Linked DNA regions of Kluyveromyces lactis. The protein of the gene in region 2 purifies or fractionates together with the protein of the main gene of each other region. This does not show direct contact. Links are inferred from orthologs where the notes say so. Each region holds a gene or a part of one and is shown on either strand. Other genes may lie near its edges.

What was found. Proteins that work in one complex are often made in the same cells at the same time.
Region 1: the proteins of SCC2 (region 2) and SMC3 purify together in Saccharomyces cerevisiae (affinity purification with western blotting; 4 studies listed by BioGRID, with this or other methods). This does not show direct contact. The link is inferred for Kluyveromyces lactis from reciprocal best matches to the Saccharomyces cerevisiae genes SCC2 and SMC3.
Region 3: the proteins of SCC2 (region 2) and IRR1 purify together in Saccharomyces cerevisiae (affinity purification with western blotting; 5 studies listed by BioGRID, with this or other methods). This does not show direct contact. The link is inferred for Kluyveromyces lactis from reciprocal best matches to the Saccharomyces cerevisiae genes SCC2 and IRR1.

Annotation. Positions count from the first base shown.
Region 1 is NC_006037.1:23,355-27,112, reverse strand, and holds the start of SMC3 (cohesin subunit SMC3), read left to right. Parts: upstream 1-1,414; coding exon 1,415-3,758. Other genes in the region: KLLA0_A00352g (pyridoxal 5'-phosphate synthase subunit PdxT), read left to right, coding at 1-531. UniProt on the Saccharomyces cerevisiae protein: Involved in chromosome cohesion during cell cycle and in DNA repair. Central component of cohesin complex. The cohesin complex is required for the cohesion of sister chromatids after DNA replication.
Region 2 is NC_006040.1:1,532,688-1,536,407, forward strand, and holds the start of SCC2 (cohesin-loading factor complex subunit SCC2), read left to right. Parts: upstream 1-894; coding exon 895-3,720. Other genes in the region: pseudouridine synthase PUS5, read right to left, coding at 1-540. UniProt on the Saccharomyces cerevisiae protein: Plays a structural role in chromatin and is involved in sister chromatid cohesion. Forms a complex with SCC4 required for the stable association of the cohesin complex with chromatin, which may act by hydrolyzing ATP from SMC1 and SMC3 heads.
Region 3 is NC_006042.1:2,573,068-2,576,825, reverse strand, and holds the start of IRR1 (cohesin subunit IRR1), read left to right. Parts: upstream 1-1,105; coding exon 1,106-3,758. Other genes in the region: ATG45 (Atg45p), read left to right, coding at 1-444. UniProt on the Saccharomyces cerevisiae protein: Component of cohesin complex, a complex required for the cohesion of sister chromatids after DNA replication. The cohesin complex apparently forms a large proteinaceous ring within which sister chromatids can be trapped.

The sequences.
Region 1 (3,758 bases), on a different chromosome or scaffold from region 2:
GTAATAACAGTTAAGACTGCTCCACAGCTTTCCTCCTGTGATTCTTTAATTATACCTGGTGGTGAATCTACGACAATCTCGCTAATTGCGAAAAGAACAGGACTTTTTGATTCCTTGATTGAATTCGTTCACGACCCCACTAAAACGGTGTGGGGGACCTGTGCTGGATTGATTTTTTTAGCTAAACAACTCAGCAATGAGTCGAGCTTGGTAAATTCGCTCGACCTGTTAAAGGTAAAGGTGAGAAGAAATGCGTTTGGTCGTCAGGCTGAATCGTTCATCGAAACATGTGACTTTTCTTCATTTATTCCTGATTGCACAGGTTTCCAAGTCTACTTCATTAGAGCCCCAATTATAGAAGAGATATTATCTCAGGATGATGTAGAGACATTGTACACTTTAAAAGATGGATCAATAGTGGCAGTCAGTCAACAAGGACGCATTCTAGGAACGTCTTTCCATCCAGAATTGTCCGATAATGATGCCAGATTCCACAACTATTTTATTCAGAAATTTGTTCTAAACAATTGATGCAAATAAATATCTATCGTTTGTATGTATTAAGTCTGAATAAACGCTGAATTCAGAACGAAATTCTTTTATCCAATTCGCCCCTTTGCGTCATTAATTATTCAATAATAAATGCGTTTAAGAAAAAAAGAAAAAATTGACACTGACGGGATTCGAACCCGTGTCACTCCCTCGCCTATGATCCTGAAGATCATTGTTATGGAAGGGGAGTATCCTAAACCACTAGACTACAGTGTCCAATGCCTGTTCAGTGTTGGAGCAGATTCTCAATATACCTTATTGTTGATGTGGCTGGTATTTCCAGTCACGTGCTGTTAAATTAAGATCTTTGGTATCTGATGAATCCATAGCGTTTATTAGCTATATATCCAGTAGTGTATGTTGATGCACCTGGGGATCTGGCATGACTGTATTGATGGTCCTTGTCCAGATCTAATGCCTCCTTATATAATAATTCAGATTAGTTAATGATATTTCATTCCGAAACACCCGTTATGTATCATCTTGATACTTAACCGCCTATTACATTGGTAGTTACCCGATCATAGTTTATGATCCATTTAAACACTTACATCGGAAAGCAGCTAACTTCGTATCAAGCCTTAGTAAAGACGAGCGTACATTGGATCCATTTAAATACTTTGAACATTTCGAAGAAGGAAGCTTACCGTTGCATTTAAGTTAGCATGTTAGGGTAACGAGTTGAAATTTGTTTATGTTATACACTGTCTATGAAACGCGTCCTTCTTTAATAAAAAAAAATGAATATCATAAACACATACAAAATTATACAAAACAAGTTAAGTTTACGCGTCCTGTATCAGAAAGCTCTAGGAATAAGAGTAATTACAAGGGCAAGAAGACAGACTACAACACTGTTGAAATGGTTCACATCAAAACTGTTATAATCAGTGGCTTCAAGACTTACAAGAATCGGACCGTGGTGGAGAATTTTTCACCCCATCACAATGTTGTTGTCGGTTCCAACGGTTCTGGTAAGTCGAACTTCTTTGCAGCTATTAGGTTCGTCTTAAGCGAAGAGAATTCAAACTTAAAACGTGAAGATAGGAAGGGTTTTATCTACCAAGGTGCAGGGCAAGTAATGAGTGCATTCGTTGAAATTATCTTTGATGATCCTGAGAACTTAATGCTTGCACCGTTAAGAAACGATACTGGAGAGGTCAGAATTAGAAGGACAGTGGGATTGAAGAAGGATGAATACATGATTAATGACAAGAACTCAACAAGACAAGACGTTAGAAGAGTTTTAGAAAATGTAGGATTTTCAACTTCGAATCCTTACAACATTGTTCCGCAAGGGCGAATAATATCCTTGACCAACGCGAAAGATTTAGAACGGCTGCATCTATTAGAGGACGTTGTAGGTGCAAAATCATTCGAAAACAAACTGAAAGAGTCTTTGAAAAAGATGGAGGCAGCAGAGAGAGATAGAACGAAAATCACTAATGAATTAAACGAACTTGACAAACGGTTGAGCGAATTGTCCGATGAAAAGGAAGAATTGGAAAAGTACAACAATCTAAATAGAGATCGAAAAGTTTTACAGTTTTGCTTATACGATAGGGAATTGAACGATATTACGAACCAAATTGAACAACTTGAAGGTGAGTACAATTCAATTATTGAAAATTCTTCTGAGTATGTTAACGAATTGGAAAAAAGAGAAGTGCTTGCAGTAGAGCTCAACAAGAGAATGAATTCTTTAGAAAGTGAGATTAAAATAAAACAGTCTACTGATCTACCACAGTTAAAGGCATCGAAGCTAGAAGTTGCTGGGGAATTGGCGGATTTAGACACTAGGTTAAACGATATTCAAATGCAATTGGATGCTTCACAAGCGCATTTGGAATCAAATGTCAAAGAAATCGGAGAAGTAAAGAAACAAATTGAGATTAACTGCTCGTCAATTGCCGAGGTACAACCAAAATTCCAAAAACTATCAAATGAAGCAGAAATCTTAAAAGTAGAAATCGAGAAACTCACAAAGAGGCAAAGAGAATTATTATCAAAAAAAGGGAAGTATGAAGATTTTCGTACGGTAAACGAAAGAAATGACTGGATCCAAGAACAAATTAACTTATTAAACCAGTCGCTGAATAAATCTAATATATTAAAAGATCAACTGACTAGCCAACTTAGTACACTACAGCATGATTTAGAGAATTTAAATGCTGAAATTGAAGACCTAGCCGATTCAGTAAATGGAATGGGATCTGTTGCTCAGCAGGAAGACTTGCAAAATAAAGTAACACAAGCCAAGAAGGAATATTTGACGAAAATCGATCAAAGAAAACAGCTATGGAGAACTGAACAAAGACTACAAACAATTTCCACCTCTCTCGATAATGATGTCAAAAGGTTTGAGTCAGATATGAATGAAACAATTGATCGTTCTTTAGCACTTGGTCTACAAAATGTCAATGACATTGTTAATAGGTTAAATTTACATGAGCATGTTTTTGGCCCTGTAGGCGAGTTGATAAAGGTAAGCGATAAATACAAAATATGTGCAGAAGTCGTGGGAGGCAACTCCCTTTTCAATGTTGTTGTTGACAATGAAGAGACCGCAAGTTTATTAATTAAGGAATTGTTTGCAACGAAAGGTGGAAGGGTAACATTTATTCCTCTCAATAAGTTGCATGTGGATACCAACTTTACGTATCCAAATAACTTGGAGAAAAATCAATGTACACCTCTAATCAAAAAGATCAAGTATGACGTGAAATTTGAGAAAGTGATCAAGCAGGTTTTTGGCCGAACTCTTGTCGTTAAATCCTTGATTGATGGTGCTTCCCTTGCCAAAGAATACAAACTAAATGCTATAACTTTAGACGGTGATCGTGCAGACAGTAAAGGTGTTTTATCTGGTGGTTACTTGGATCAGTACAAGAGTAATAGACTGGATACTTTACGAGACTTCAAACAATCGAAAAGAGAATATAAAAAAATTCAAGTAGAGCTTCAAGAGATTAAACAGGCGCTCCAGAGTATCGAACAGGAAATTGATGGCCTAAACAATGTTGTTAAGGATGCTGCAGCAGAGAGAGATGCGTATGAAGCAGGCATAGAAAAGGCTAGGAGTCAGTTGAAAGCAAAGCTGTCTCAGAAAATTACGATTGATGACTCTATAAAAGCTTTGAAGGCGAGACTAAACAAAATCGATACGGAGCTTGAACAATGTAGAGAACGTACAAATGCCTTTGCTG
Region 2 (3,720 bases):
TAAAATTAGGTGTTCATTGTCGACACGCTGAAAATATGTGATTGCACCATTCCACTTTATGAGACCTTCTTTACACTCATTCGCAGTCTTAGATTTTCCAACTTTTGCGACATACTTTCTAGTTAGTGAGAATCCTTTATTCCCGCCATACCTTAGATTTCGACTAAATTGTTGTGCTGACTGTTTGTTTACAGCATATACTATTCCACCGGATACTGGTGTGTCAATCCTGTGGATGGGGTAGTACGATGGTTCATATGTACCGTCCTTCAGGATGCTTCCACTAGAGCTTTGAACAATATCCAATAACACTGGGGGATCATAGTCGTGAGTATTGTACCACGTTCGTTTGTCAGGTAATTGAGAAAGGGCCAAGGGTGGCTTATTAAAAATTACGTGGTGCTTGTCACGCCAGAGCTCTTGTACTTTTAAAGGGAATTCCACTTCACAATGTGTAGCCTTAGCGTTTGTCGACTCCGGGGAGACGATTTTAAAGATCTTCACGAAAGGGGGTTGTTTTATGAAGCCTCTACGTAGCATATCAATTAGTACTATGATTTAAGCAATGCAGATGTACAGGAACTAACGGTTTTCTCCTCTCAGCTACATTCATGACTACTTATGCTTCCCTCATCATTCTCATGATATTTTTCTCAAAACTGCAGCAGCCTTTTTCAAATCAAGAAAGCCGAATAGATATATAAATAATTAATGAGACGAATACTAGATCTCTACAGCAATGAACGGTCAAACGATTTCATCAAGTTGAAAGAAGCAACAGCAGATAGTTTACACCCGGAAGCTCTATTTCATCTGCTTTTCTCTGGGCATTATCATCTTCTTCAAATAATACTGCCTTTCCAGTAATATTCTGATTACTGAGCAGTGGCGGCTATGGCGAAAGGGTTTCCAGGCGAAACTGACAATGAGATTCCCAAACGCATCTCTGAAACACTGAAGTACCAGCCAATTAACCACATAGTACCGAAGTCAGGGCTATCTAATTTGCTGAGTTCTTCAATAACCGAAGATATCAGTATTTCATGTAACAGTGCGTTCGGTTCACCCCCATCTGAACATTGGCTATACCCTCACCCTATCGATTTCGACCCATTTAACGAAGGCGACAGGGACCCCATTTTATTCAGGAGACCCAATAATATTACTTTAAGAGATGAGTCTCAAGAAACTGCTCCTGATCTGAAGCTTCTGAAAAATCTTCCACAGCTAGGAATCAGGTGCCTGACTGTTACAAGCCTGGTCGATTCTGCTAGTATTGTTGCGAATGTTGCTGGAAATCAGAACACAGCTACTAAAAAAAGAAGGCTAGAAGCAGGGGAAGACAAGGTATTGCTGAATGAGCTGGATTCCAAACGGATTCAAATTTGTGTACAATCTAATCCGATGAATGACTTGGAAGTTGGAAAACTTTGTCTTGATCATCTTTCGAAATTGTTAGATTCTGTCGGACTCAATTCTGAAGGGAGTGTTAATGAAAACGCTAAATTCTGGAAGCCATTAGGTGATGTTTACGTTGCTACTTCGGAGGCTATAGATGCAATATCGTTGACGATAAATAAAGTTCTAGGATTTCCGATGGTATTTGAGTATATTGATGTTCAATCTCTTAAAAAAATACTGGGTCTTTGCACTAGAAATATCAAAAGAATCCTAGCATATCAATCAGACAATGAATCTGAGTCCTTAGATCTGAATAACCTTACGTTTGGTTGCGCATTTTTAATTCTTGAAGTTATGATGATAGATCTCAAATCCGCAAACCTTCAGTTAGAAGAATATTACAATGCTGTGTTCTCAGCGCTTGATAATGCGCTCGAGAAGTTACATGTTTCGGACAACTCAAGAGGTATTAATGCAGATATTGGAAATATATTCTTATTCATCAATTTATTGGAAAAGTTTGTCGCCTCTCAATCATACTTGGACGAAATGTTTTTGATCAAATCAGTGTGCATTTGCTGTGATATGCTACTACACAGATGCTATCAACACTTAAACACTAATGTGCTTTTATCGCAAGCGGAGCGGATAAAAGACCTTTCTCTTGGAATATTAATATCACTTTTTTCTGAGTATCCATCTCAGCGGCTATTTATTACGGAAGAATTATTATCACACGTGCATGATATAGTAGTCTCAAAATCCACTAAAAAACTGAAATTGGTCGATGAATTTGAGAATGGCTACGCATCGTATTTTACTGTCGCCCTTGTTGCCATGTTCCAGTCAATAAATGCTTTGCCTGATGCTGAGCTATTGTCAGATTTTACGTCTGAATTGCTTGAAAATGTACTGTCCGAGAATAATGCCGCAAGTTTGGAATTGAAAGGACTAATCGATAACGTCACAACAACTTTATTCGAAGGATTGATTACGAATCCTTTCAAATTCAAATCAATTGTGGAGATTTACATCCAAGATTTGCTAACTATGATAGGAAACCCGAAATGGGCGTATTCTCATCATTTATTAGAAGCTTTTTTGCCGAAATTGTTTCAGATATTCAGCCCTACGTATCAAGGAACAGGAAACTTCGAAGTGCTTGCTATTCAACTTGTCGGCCAAATTACTGCCACTTTGACAGACGTTAAACTGAGGGCTGCATCCGAGGAAAGTAGGGATGTAAAAAGGATATTTAATTTGCAAAATGAGTACAAAGAGTGTTTCGATTGGTTGGGTTCGCAGACCAAGACATATTTTTCCGATAGAGCATTGTGGAATGAATCACTTTTTTATATCAGTGAGATGTTAGATCAGAAGGAGATAGACAAAACAGACGCACAGGTAATGAATTTTGTTATACGTATAATAGCAAAAGAAATAAGGGAGACAGAAATAAGCGAGAAAGAAATAAGCGAGAAAGAAATAAATAATGGTATCGATGGTAATGAAAGAGTTCGGTCCCTTTACATGAAAATTGTTTCACTTAGTCCGTTGTTTAACTTTTATGAACCCGCTTTGAGGCTCATTCTTTCGTTATTGGATCAACAAAAAGTAAAACTTAAATCAGGAGCAGTTAAATGTTTGACCCTATTAGTATCAAAGGATCCTCAGATGTTAGATACTCCTTTTGTTCAGGAAACCATAAAAAACAGACTCTATGACTCTTCGGCTTCCGTTAGAGATGCAATTTTGGATCTTCTAGAGCAGGCCACAACCTACATTCAATTCTACCGAGAAATAAACTGTAACTTTGACGATGACAGTATAGCAGTTCGAAAACATGTTATGCGGATGAATGAAAAGATTCTTGATACAAGTTCCGACCTGAAAATAAAGACATTCGTTTTAGAAAAAGTCTTGAGACGAATTGAGGATGAAGAGGATGTTATCGTGGAAAATGCCAGGAAACTATTACTTCATAGACTAATTTTGAGACATAGTGCATCTGACTTGTCCGTAAAACTGCATAGATTTGATTTATCAGAAACCCTCGAGCTATTATCAACACTCATCGGTTATGGTGGCAAGACTGAGGAACTGTTGGAGTTCTTCTTTCATTTTTTCGTATTGAACCCCTCCATTCATAAGAATGAAGATACGAAGTCGATATTTGATGCTTTAAGAAATCTTGTTAATGTACTTATTGAAGAGATTACTGAGAATGCAGCATCTGCAGACGAACTGAGTGAATCGAATGCAAGAAATAGATATGACCTACTTTATTTTTTTGCCAATTGTCCGATCAATTTCATATCA
Region 3 (3,758 bases), on a different chromosome or scaffold from region 2:
AGCTGTTTCGATAAATATATAGATGATATGGGTCACGAAAACAATTTAATCCATTGCAAGGCTTGGTTGGAGACTGAAGAAATGGTTGCTGATATTGTAATGGAAGATGTGGAATTGGATTTAAAACCTTTTAGATCTTCTATGTCACCTTCAGATCTTCAGATCGATCAGTTAGCAATCACTAGGCCAAGTAGCGAACAAGATTACATACACGTAACTTCAAGAGGTGAATTAAGCTCATCTGAGGACGTGGAATTAGATCCGAGAGTAACACAAGGTACAATTGATGATATTTTGGTAGATGATATTGACGAACAACAATCTCAACAAACTCTACTACAGGCAAGCTACTCTGATCAAAATGCCAAATATCCATCTTCATATAATCCGATACACGGACTCGTCGCAACTTTAAGACGTGCAACCACTTACTGGAAACGTTGATGGTTAATTTTATGCTATTTCTTCTTTACCTATTCTCCTTCTAATTGATTTTTCTTCCTTTCACGCTAATATACACTGCTTTTTGCTCAACTTCTTCTATCCAGTAAAAATCTTCTGAACACATATTCATCAAACTACAATAATTACTATTTAAACCTCGTGCTATTTCTCTTCTTTAATTTATTTAGCCTCTAACTTCTTTTTTTTCTCAGGATGTAATACAGTCTGTCGGTTTAAATCGATTACGACGATTGCTTCAAAACACACTCTCTTCCCATGCTTTGGTAGCCTCAAATGAAAGCATACAAAAGTCATCTCATTTGAATGAAAATTGCTCTTAGATAAAGTTCATGGATGTCTTCGTAAAACAGGTCATTTAACTTTAGATAGAGAAATTGATATAGGTCTGTGATTTAACAATGTAACACTGTTGTTTCACTTCTTAACACAGCTGCCGTTATTAGGCCAAAATATAATACTTACATTTTACATGGATTCGAGTAAAAAAACGCGTCGCGTAAATCTAAAAAACTATATGTATGAAAGTAAAAAAAAAGAGGCGACGAACAACAAATCAAGGAAAAAAACAGCTCTCACTCATAGTACATTAACAACAACAGTCACTTACTAGAACCATTCAGCCTCGTTCCACTGTCTACCTATGCCAGTGAGAAGGTCAACCAGGATAAGGACCAAATCCTCTTATAGTGAACAATCTGGATCAGAATCGGACTCTGAGCACGAAACTATAGGATCCATTGTCACCGACGATCGAATAAATATCGAAAACACGGATAATCAGAAAGAAGAAGAAGCTTTATCACAAGGTTCTAGTAGTTCAGAAGAAGACGATGACGCCAATGATGACGACTATGTTGCCCCTGGCTCCAGAAAAAGACCAAATTCCGGAGGTAGGCGCGTTGCAAGCAACAAGAGAACGAAATTAAAACAAAACGAGAAAGGCCGACCATCTAATAATATATCCAGTGCTGTTTCAAGAAAAGAACAGGAAGCATACATATCATTGCAGAATGAATTCAAACCCACAGAGCTTTTTGAAATTCTAAGCAGCTCCGACGATTTTTCTTGCGAAGAACTTGCCAGTGACTGGTTGGATTCCTATATAGATAACCGAAATGTCAGCTTAGCGAATCTCATAAATTTCTTATTAGATTGTTCTGGATGTTTCACTCATATTGGTGAACACGATGTAGCTAATAATGACTCTTCGAATGAAACAATAGGGGAAATACAAATTATGTTCCATGAGCAAAAAAAACATGAGTTCCATTTATTACTATCGGCAACACACAAGAAGGCAAAGTTCCGTCCTTTGAATGATAATTTTAACATTTTCATGACCACATTAATGGACCTAGCCATTGAGAAAGAGATGATATATGTTGAGAATGAAAAAGAAGAAAGTGACGAGATTGTGATCGAAACAAATCCATTAATTATTGACTTACTTACATGGATACCTTCCATGTCAGTATCAAAAATACGATGTTTGCGATATGTTTCAGCTAAAGCCATCTTCTGTTTCCAAGATTCTCTCGCACGAGCTTCTGCCAGCTTAGAAGCAGAGGTGTTATTTAAACTGAGGAAACAGTTGACACTGGAGAGAAAAAAGAAAAAGCCCAAGTCCAAAACTATGGAGACGCTAGAATCTTCTATTTCTGATGCTGAAGCTACGAAAACTGTGATAGAAAACACTATTGATAACATAATAAAGCTCTGTTTTGTTCATCGTTTCAAAGATGTAGATGAAAATATCAGATCCCTTGCGATATCCTACTTGTTAGATTGGATTGAAAACAATCCAGACTACTTTTTTAAGGTAACCTTCCTCAAATACTTCGGTTGGTTGCTATCTGATAGCAGTAATTCAGTCCGGTTACAAGTTATAAGGTCCCTTCATGACCTAATTAAGTTCTCCAATAAGAGAAACAAAAATACTGTCGATAACGCTGCCCTAAGACAATTTTTCGAAAGATTCAAAGATCGAATGTTAGAAATAGCTGGCAGAGACATCGATATTCAAGTAAGATTAACCTCAGTTCAAGTACTTTCGTCGATTAATGGGTTGGGTTATCTGGATGACCATGAAATAATAGACATCATTAGCTTGATCTTTTTTGATCATGAAGTAAAAGTATCTTCTTCGTCAAGGGACGTTAAATTCTTGAACGAGGTTACCAAATTCTTGGCAAACATTGTTTCTGAAAAAACGGAAGAGTTTCTAATAAACAATGAAAGGTTTAAGGTTCCGGTAATTTCGGTAACGGAAGAGCAGTTTGTTAAGGTGGGTGTGTTAATGAGATTATTACACAATTCATTGTTAAATCATATCAACTCCACTAGTAATTTAGAAGGTTATGCAAAAGTACCACCGGACAAAATCAAACTCTTACAGCAAGCGGCGGAATTTTTATCCCCCAAGTTTTACAACTTAATTGAAACTATATCAAAACTACTCTATGAAGAGGGAAATTTCGATGGCAGCACAATTCATGCTGATGCAGATGATTTTTCCAATGATCTGGGTGATATCAAATTGTTCCTACCAGAAACTGATAACAATGTCCTATTTTATGCCACTGTGTTGGGCGGCTTATGCACAGGCGGCATACAGTACAACAAAGGCCAGGACAGACAAGCCGTGACACAGTTAATTCTTCCAGAGTTAGAAGATCTTTTCAAGAAAATGAATCTTGATTCTGATCAGATATATACTCAACTACTAAATGTAATACAGCTATTAAACACAGAAGAATGGAATTCCAGTGAATCAAAGGATGTCATTTTTAATATCAATAAAACAATAACAAAACGATTTGAAAGCTCTCCAGTGGTTTTGAGCAACGCAAATGCCATTACTAAAACCTATAAGAGTTTAATTCCATATTTGGCATCCCTTCAAATACCAGAGGTAACTGGTTATTGGAAGTCATGTCTGATTAACGTGACATTATCATTCAAGAAGTTTATGGAATCATTTGACATAAAATCTGATAATTCAATAACAACATTATATCTGCAATATGTTAACAAACTTGTAATTTTGGGTAAGGAGTTCGCAATTGAAATTTCAGAAACGCTTTTGGATGACATTGTTGAAAAATTCTTGAAGCCGTTGAGTGAATTACTACCAAAGATTGATTCGGATGCCATATCTGTCCTAGATTTTAAGCTTTTCACCTCAATAGTTACTTGGAATTTAGCAACTTGGAGAGATGTTATCAAAAATAATGAAGAACCTATAGCTGTTTCACATACTACGCTGAATCAAATTAGAACGGTATTAGTCGAAT